Canis lupus familiaris: one gene and its partner. Each later gene encodes a partner of the first gene's protein in a complex. Links are inferred from orthologs where the notes say so. Each region holds a gene or a part of one and is shown on either strand. Other genes may lie near its edges. The genes, in order: ZMYND8 and DBN1.

Evidence for each region.
Region 2: the proteins of ZMYND8 (region 1) and DBN1 are in contact, whole or in part, in a crystal structure (PDB 5Y1Z), measured with the Homo sapiens proteins. The link is inferred for Canis lupus familiaris from reciprocal best matches to the Homo sapiens genes ZMYND8 and DBN1. Residues at the interface, in NP_001350670.1 of Homo sapiens: Gln167, Pro168, Gly169, Thr170, Gln236, Ile237, Val240, Lys243, Ile244, His247, Trp269, Leu285, Gly287, Phe288, Phe307, Gly309, Gln310, His311, Asp312, Ala314, Thr335, Lys336, Ser337, Ile338; in NP_004386.3 of Homo sapiens: Met1, Ala2, Phe6, Ser7, Arg10, Leu11, Leu14, Tyr17, Glu18, Asp92, Ala93, Cys96, Ala97, Ala99, Ser100, Lys104, Glu107, Phe108, Gln110.

What each region holds. Positions count from the first base shown.
Region 1 is NC_049245.1:34,969,387-34,973,187, reverse strand, and holds part of ZMYND8 (protein kinase C-binding protein 1), read left to right. Parts: intron 1-2,532; coding exon 2,533-2,925; intron 2,926-3,801. UniProt on the Homo sapiens protein: Chromatin reader that recognizes dual histone modifications such as histone H3.1 dimethylated at 'Lys-36' and histone H4 acetylated at 'Lys-16' (H3.1K36me2-H4K16ac) and histone H3 methylated at 'Lys-4' and histone H4 acetylated at 'Lys-14' (H3K4me1-H3K14ac).
Region 2 is NC_049225.1:36,784,384-36,788,860, forward strand, and holds the start of DBN1 (drebrin), read left to right. Parts: upstream 1-1,466; 5' UTR 1,467-1,594; coding exon 1,595-1,680; intron 1,681-2,394; exon of another isoform or gene 2,395-2,484; intron 2,485-4,477. UniProt on the Homo sapiens protein: Actin cytoskeleton-organizing protein that plays a role in the formation of cell projections. Required for actin polymerization at immunological synapses (IS) and for the recruitment of the chemokine receptor CXCR4 to IS.

The DNA of each region.
Region 1 (3,801 bases):
CCAAACCGCTGCGCCACCCAGGGATCCCTCACTTTCAAGTTTATTAGGTAAAGAGCATATTACAGTGTGCCACAGTGACCTTCAGCTCACCTTTAGCCAGGAATGCTGCTTATATGTAGAATAGGCAGCCTGAGGTAGCAAAATAGCTTTCTAGTTGGTGATCTCAGAATAGAGGCAAAGGGAGGCTTCCTTAGAGACCCCGCTGTGCTTCCCTTACAACACCGGTAATTTCCATCTTTCTCTTAGAAAGACCCCCCTTCAGGTACTAGAATAAGTAGGTTAATTAAGTAGGGGCAGCTTCTGGAGTGTTGGCCTTGAAGAGATTCACCCTTTTCTGGGCTCTCGGTTTGATTATACACTCAAAATTTCTGGGACAAATGGAATTTCCTACCCCCCCACTTCCCCCAGTAAACCATTAGAATCTTCTAGAAATCAAAATATTTTAGTATCTAATTGGTAACCCCAAAGGGTACTTTGAGCCTAGAATCTTTTTTTGGATTGCACACTCCACAGTTTTTATTTGGAACAGAGGGCCAGCCATCACCACTGCAGAGCAGCAGCCCACCCACAAAGTTACTCTTTGCTTCTGCAAATCAGTAGAAAGAAAAGGACCTATTTGTGGTTGTCCTTTGTCTGAGGAGAGAGGGGCTAGGTTAGCTTCTCAACAGTAATGATATATATATTCATCACCTGGAAGGAAAGGGAGGCATGGAAGGTGCTTCTCTGCAAGTTAGAAGCTCCACCAGGGGACTGCCCTGGTGCACGGCTCTTAGAAAACCTGGGTTCAGAGCCCCCTTTCCTCCTGGAAGGTACAGGGGCTGTATCCAGTATCCAGCACGCAAAGTCATCCCGGCAAAGGATCAGGGTTCCTCACTGTATGAAGAGCTCCCTCCCTTTCCGGCTCCACTTATGAACTTGGCTGGGCTCTTCCTTCCTCTCCAGAGGAGCAGGAAGGCGGAGGAGAGCCAGACAGATGGGACGGCCACCAAGGAAGCTCCCTGCACCCCCTGGCCTCCTGAGTCAGGAAAGTCAGCCCCCCTCCCCTTTCTTTTTTTTCTGTCACTCTCCTTGACTTCCTAAAACTCAGGGTACTGAATATCCTTCCTGGAATAATCAAGGTCATGTCTTTTCTGGGTTACATAAATCTGAAAGGCACTTATGTCAAGGTACATTGTCTGATAAGTTGGGGGTGCTGACTTGTACCTGTGTTTTGTGTGTGATCCCTGGGCATCCTCTCTCGGGGGCAGACCCGCTCCACTGGTGGCTGGGACCTCGGCGGTGATAACGGACCCCCCTTTACAAATGAGCACAAGGGGGCTACCCCTTCTGTGCTGCTCAGTGCTTCTGGCTCTAACCCGCCTTCCTGCCACTCCTCACTGCCTGCTCTCACTGACCAAAATGCTGGCTGCTCCTGGACACGTCTTGGCTGTCGCAGTCACCCTCCAAATTCTCACTTCCGCCTGTTGAAATCCTGCCCCTCCCTCACAGCCCCCCCTCCCAGAAGACAGACTCCCGGAAAGCAGCCTTTTCCAAACTTGTCATTTACATTCATTATTCTTGCCCTTCCCAAGTCTTGCTTTGTATAATCATTGACTTCGTATTTTTATTTAAAGCTACTCTAAAATAAACTATGCTTTTAAAGCTCATTTTAGATGTAGATTTGACCATCGCACCAGTTATTGCCTGATAAAAGGTGGCAGTGGGAATAAACATATCAGAATTAAAAGCAGGGCGTATGCTTCCCATGATGAACACTAAGTAACATGCAGAATTGTCGAATCACGATATTGTACACCTGCAACAAATAGAACACCGTATGTTAACTCGACTGGAATTAAAGTGGAAAAAAAAACATTATAAAACAATATCAACAGCAACAAAGAAGCAAGTCTCCTTAGAGATAAATACCATGGTGTTGGGAAGGTTCTGGCTATGGAGTGGAATTCCCTTTAGTCCCAGGGGTCAAGGCCATTAAGAGCACACTGGGACTTAGTCCTGGAGGGAGTCAGAGGTCAAGGGAGACTCTCCTTCTGGGTGACTTCATGTTTCCAGTGCTTTGGCCCTTGGGAAGTTACCTGATACTTAGGGGTACAGGCTCTATAGGTTCTTTAGCCAAAAGGATTCTCTTAATCTCTGGGTCGACTTTGGTTGGGTGTTTCACAAAGTGCTTACCCAGTTCTAACCGTAACACAAGACAGCTTGTGGTGGTTCTGTTCCTCCACTCACTGGTGGACAGCTTGAGGGCAGGGGCTGGGTCTAGTTCGCCTCATTTGCCCCAGAGGCCCCTATAGGAGCCTCCGATGTGGGCAAGAAGAGGCCGACACTCTGAGATAGATACACAGCAGCGGCCTCTGTGGATAAGGTGAGATGTGCTCCTCCATCGGGGGTGGGGTCCTCCCACACTGAATTTGTTCAGCATTCTTGGTTGGCCTTGCTTTGTTTAACCCAGAACATGCTGGAGAAGAGAAACCCCGCAGGTGAACCTGAGTCCAATCTCTCCTCTTCTGTCCCCCCCGCCCCCCGACGCATCAGCTTTAGTTGTAGGCAAAGCTCCACCGTCCACTACGGCGGGCAGCCAGTCCCCACCTGAAACTCCGCTCCTCACCCGCTCCTCCTCCCAAACACCCACGGCTGGTGTCACGGCCACCACCAGCACCACGTCCACGGTCACGGCCCCGGCCGCCACCGCCGCCGCCGCCACTGCCGCCGCCACGGGAAGCCCGGTGAAAAAGCAGAGGCCGCTTTTACCGAAGGAGACTGCCCCGGCCGTGCAGCGGGTCGTGTGGAACTCGTCAAGTAAGTTTCAAACGTCTTCCCAAAAGTGGCACATGCAGAAGATACAGCGCCAGCAGCAGAGCCAGCAGCAGAGCCAGCAGCCTCAGTCTACCCAGGGGACGAGATATCAGACCAGACAGGCTGTGAAAGGTACCATGCCCCCTTCTGTTCAACGTGGCGCCCACTCCCTCCTCGCCACATCGACAGGAGAGACAGAAATGTTTTTCTTTTTTTTTCTTTTCTTTTTTTTTTTCAGTTCTTTTTTGTTTCATGGCCTTTGTATCTTGAAGGCCTCGCGCATTCCATGTGGCATTATTTTTAAAAGTTGTTTTGCGACTTGTTTTTTTCACTTTTATTTTTTTTCCCCTCTGTGTTAGAAACAATACATGCATATAGGCTTCTTAGAGAGGGGTAAAATATTTGCCCCACAATCTGTTGTCTTGACCGAACTTCCATTCCATTCTTCACCCTTTCTCAGTGGCCACTGTTAACCGTGAAACCTTTTTTATGCATGTATGCATATATATTTATGTATATATGACTCTTCATAAAAATAGTATTTTTTTCTTTTTCCTTTTTTTAAAACATACAAATGGTACCATACTTTTTTTTCTTCTTTTTTTCTTTTTTTTTTTTCACCCATCAGCATGTTTTGGAAGTTCATCCATGTTAGCACATATAGCTCTATCTATGTTATTTTGGACTGCTGCATAGTATTCCACAGTTGATTTAAATCAAGTATTCCCCTACTGATGGGCATTTAGGTTGCTCCCAGTTTTTTTTTTTCCCCCTGTTGTAAGCAGTGCTGCAATGAATACCTTTGTGTAAATTTTCTTGTGCACACCCATGAACCTCTTGGCATTATTTTGGGAAGAGTATGGTGTGAGGAATTGGTAGCAAAGGGTATCTTGATAACTAGAGGTTAGCCACCTACAGAAGAAGAGCCAGCATCAAGCACCAGTTGGCGAAGTTGTGGAGTCAAAACCACCCCCAGCCATGGAGGAGGCTCCATCTGGCATTGCTTGG
Region 2 (4,477 bases), on another chromosome or scaffold:
ACTCTGCCCAGGGCCTTGCTCCAAGTGGCAGCTGTGGAGAAATCACCAGGGTCAGGGGTCCATGGCATAGTAGGTGCAGAGTACCCGAGGGAGGTGTCTGTGAAATTTAAGGGGTTTGAAGAGGTTATTCCTACTTGAAAGCACTGGGACTCACTGCTAATCAATGCACACTGCTCTCCTTCTCCTCTTGGTGTAACTGATTACCCATCTCAGAACTCAGAGGCCCAACTGGGGGCCACCTCCTTTTCCATCTCCCAGACTGGACCAAGTAAAGCTTGCTTGATTCTGTCACCTCCCCCAAGAAGATGGGGGTGGGAGGCTGTGTAGGAGGTGGAAAAGGCTTCTTCAAGCTGGGGAGAGTTTCAGGGTCCCACCTCAGCAAGGAGTGGCGATGTTCCATGAGGCCCTGGCAGTGGTGCCCACTCCCTTGTAGGGGACTTCTGTACTTGGAACCCTGCCCTGGGAGTCTGGGGTTAGATGCTGCTTCTGGAACTGTACTTGGGATTCCTCTGTGAGGCCTGAGGCTTGGGAGAGAAGGCAAAGGAATTGGAGGCTGGACCCATCAGAGACAGCCCTTGGGGGCAGCCAGGAACTGAGAGAGTGCTCTGGAGAGAGGTGGGTCAGGGATGGGAAAGAAGTTGGGAATCCTGGAGTACTGAGCTAAGTTGGGGCTGAGCACAATCAAGGAGGCAGGGATGGAGGGGTGTGGTTGGGAACTGGGATCCCAACGGGAATAAGGTAGGCTGGACTGACGAGGGTGCTGCTAGCGAAGGTGGTTATTGTGAATGTGTGGAGGTGCGCACTGAGGGCGTGGTTGGGAAGTAGGCTGGGAAAGAAATGGGTTGGATGTGGGGTAGGGACACAGATGGCAGTGAATAGTGATGGGGGTGGCCTAGGAGTGGACCTTTCAGAGGTGGGTATGGGCTGCATACGGGCCAAGGTGGCTGGTCCAGTTGGGCTGGGGTTGAGGGTTGGAATGGAGATGGGTTTAACCTGGTTTGGGATGGCAGGGGGATGGGGCTAAGGCTGGGACGGAGAGAAATTAAGCACGGGGTAGAGCTGTGCCAACCGGAGCGAAGAGGATTTGGGCCTGGGACTAGGAGCTGGAAAGGAGAGGGGGGAAGCCGGGCCTGGGTGGTGGCCGCAGACGGGAACCCCGCGAGGTGGTGCCGCTGCTGGGTATGGGGCTGGGGGAAAGGGTGAGCGCCCACGCTGCGGACACCGTGCGCGAGGCTGGGGACGCGGGCGAGACGCGGCCGGGGTGCGGGAGCGCAGAGCGCGGGCGGGCGCGGGGCGCGGGGCGCGGGGCGCGGGGCTGGGGGCGCCCGGGGCAGGCCGGGAAGGGGGGCGGCCTCCCCCTGGGCCCGCCGGGCGGCGCTAGGACCGGGCGCGCGGAGGGAGCGAGCCGGGCGGAGCCTGCGCCCCCCGCCCCCCGCCGGCCGCTCCCCTCCCCCGGCCGCGGCTCGCTGGGCTCGCGGCGCTGCAGAGGCTTCGCGGCGGCGGCGGCGGCGGCTCCCTCTTTCCTCGCCTCCTGCTCTGGCCGTCGGTCCGTGCTCCGCGCGTCCGTCCGCTCGGCCTCAGTCCGGCCAGCAGCATGGCCGGCGTCAGCTTCAGCGGCCACCGCCTGGAGCTGCTGGCGGCGTACGAGGAGGTGATCCGGGAGGAGAGCGCGGCCGACTGGTGAGCCCCCGCCCCGCCCCCGCCCGCGGCCCCTTTGTCCCCGCCGCCGCCGCCGCCGCCTTTGTTTCCGCCCGGCTCCGCCGCCCCGCAGCCGCGAGGGGAGGGGGCCCCGCAATGGTGCAGCGGCCCGGGGGGCTCGGGAGGGGCTGCCTCGGCGCGCGCCGGGGGAGGGGCCGGGCCGGGCGGGCGCTGCCGGCCCCGGGCGCCCGCAGGCGGCCCCGGCCTCGCGCCGCGGCGGTGGCCGGACGCTCCGGGGAGGCGCGGGGTCCAGATGCGGGGCCCGGGGCCGCTCGCCCTGCGGGAGCCCATCCCCCGCCCTCGCCCTGCCGCCCCGGGCCCCGGGGACAGGTGTGCACGGGGCGGCCAAGGGCACCTTCGCCACCTTCGGGCGGGAGCGGGCCGGGCGGGGACGAGGCGGGGAACCAGCCAGCGGAGCCAGCGCAGCCCGCCCGGCCCGGCCCGGCCCGGCCGCAGCACAAAGGAGAGCTAGGGCGGGGGAGGGGCGGGGCGGGCCGGGGCCGGGGCCGGGGCCGGGGCCGGGGCGCCCCGCCCACCGGGGGCCTCTGGGAGCCGGGGTGCGAGGGGGCCGTGTTCCTCGCCACCTAGCCGCCGCCGAGCGACTCCTGTTCCCCTCAGGGGTCGCGGAGAAGGCCGAGCTGAGACCTCCTCTCCCCGATCCGGAGGGGACTGCGGGGACTAGGCAGTGGGGCCGGGAGCTGCCTGGCCAGGTGGCCAGCTGGGGTCCCTGAGAGGAGGCTCCCAGGCACACAAGTGTGGAGGGAGCGCCCAAACAGGAAGGAGAGAGTGAGTACATCCATTGAGCCCCGAAGCCTCAGGCTCAGTGGTCAGCTTCCTCGTGGCAGATAAGCTGAGCTACCTTCTCTCCCTTTCCTGGCTGTTGTCTTGCCCTGAGCTTGAGACGGGATGGACCACCTGCTCTCTCTGGCTGGAGACCCCTGGGTGGCAGGAAAGCAAAGGGGTCCCACACTGCCCCATTCAGGAATCCCCTTCCTCCAAAATACTCTCTCCTGGGACAGGTGCCCATTCTGTTCTCTAGGCCTGGTCTTTTCCTAGCAGGAAGGAAACTGAGGCACAGAGTGAGGCTAGGTCTGAGGGCCCTCACGTGGGCTGGCCTCACCCTCATCCTAGGAGGGCAGTTAGGTAGGGACACTGACCCGGGGGCTGGAGGAGGGGCAAGATGGCCAGGCGTCCATGCCATGGTACTGCAGCACTGGCGGGCAGCCAGGCCTGGAGGGATGGATGAGGGAGAAAGCCCTCAAGTCCTGCAGGTCAGTCACAGGAGAGGCCAGCACAGGCTGAGCCGGCAGGAGGCCCACCCATTGTCCCAGCCCTGCCCCATGGGGGCTGAGATCATGGGAGGAGTTCAGGGCAAGTGGCCCGCTTGGCCTGGTGGAGGAACTAGGCTTAGGATATGGGCCTTGCCTGCAGAGGCACAGCCCTGCCTTAGAACACCCTACTCGTCCTCTGGTCTGCTGGTTATTATATACCACCACCCCGTTTCCCTCTAACCTCCCAAAAGCAAGGTTCTGGCAGTCCAGCACAGGGGTACACAACCGCTGCTGGACCACATTCTGTTTAGCAGAGGCCTGGGCTCCCACCACTCAGCAGCATCCATGTGGCCAAAGCAAGTTATTCATCATTGGCATGCGTCACCCCCATCTGGGTTGTGTGTGGGACACACATGTACACATGCACCCTCGTACATACAGACATTTGCTAACTCCCAAGGGCCTAGATAGCGTTTTGTAAAGAGGATGTGAAGAACACATCCTGCAGAGTAGGGCATGAGTGCCCCCAGTCCCAGTACAGAACCAGGAGTATAGTGGAGTCTCAGGACTTGGGGGCAGACCCTGTACTCAGAGGCCAGAGGAGTGGATCTTGGGTACAATTGCTGTCTTGGTCAAGAGGCATGGTACTGCCTTCACTTACCTCTGAGGGGGATATTGCTCCTATGTGGCAGAGCCTTTGAAACGGACTGTTGCCCTGGATAGGACACTACTCACTGTGTTAACTACACACAAGTGTCTGCTCCTCTCTGGTCCTCTTGAAAAGAGAAGGAGGGGATGGGACTCCACCATATCTGGGACCCCCAAGGCACCTTCCAGCTCCAGCATCCTGAGAGTGGAATTGGACTGAGGGCTCCTCCATCTGCCTTTGGTCCCCACCTCAACCGAACATGGGATCTCCCTGGAGTGGCACATCCCAGGCCCACCTCACCCTAGTCCAGTGTCTCTGGCCTCGGTGGCTTCTCAGAGTTTGTGTCAATATCACAGATACCTACTGGTTCTGCCCTGTGCTGGACCCGGGACCCAGTGAGTGATGCATGTTGATTGAATTGGATGTCTCCGTTTCACACAGCTTACAGTTAGAGGCGTTGTCTGTTTCCAGGGGTTGAAGCTGAAGAGACATGTAGATCCCTGGGACCCCATCCTGATACCTGTGGTTTCAACAGCTTCCACCCTTTCAGGCCTGGCTGTCTCTGATGTGTTTGAGAAGTACAGGTCTAATGAGATCTAGGATAGGCTTAGAGGCTTCTTGCCATCCCTTATGGGGTATGGTAAGTGCTCTAAGGAGGTGCAACTTAGGACAGGGCTTCCTGGGAAGCTGGCATTGGGTCCCTGAAGGATTTCAGTCAGGGCTGGCCCATGGGATGGATAAATAGGTCTAGCCCTCCTGTGGAGGGAAATTAATGTGCAGAGGCTCCCGGGTGGGAAATATCTAGAATTGAGTTTGGGATCCAGAGGCCATCCAGCGCATCCCAAGTGTTTGGTATGGA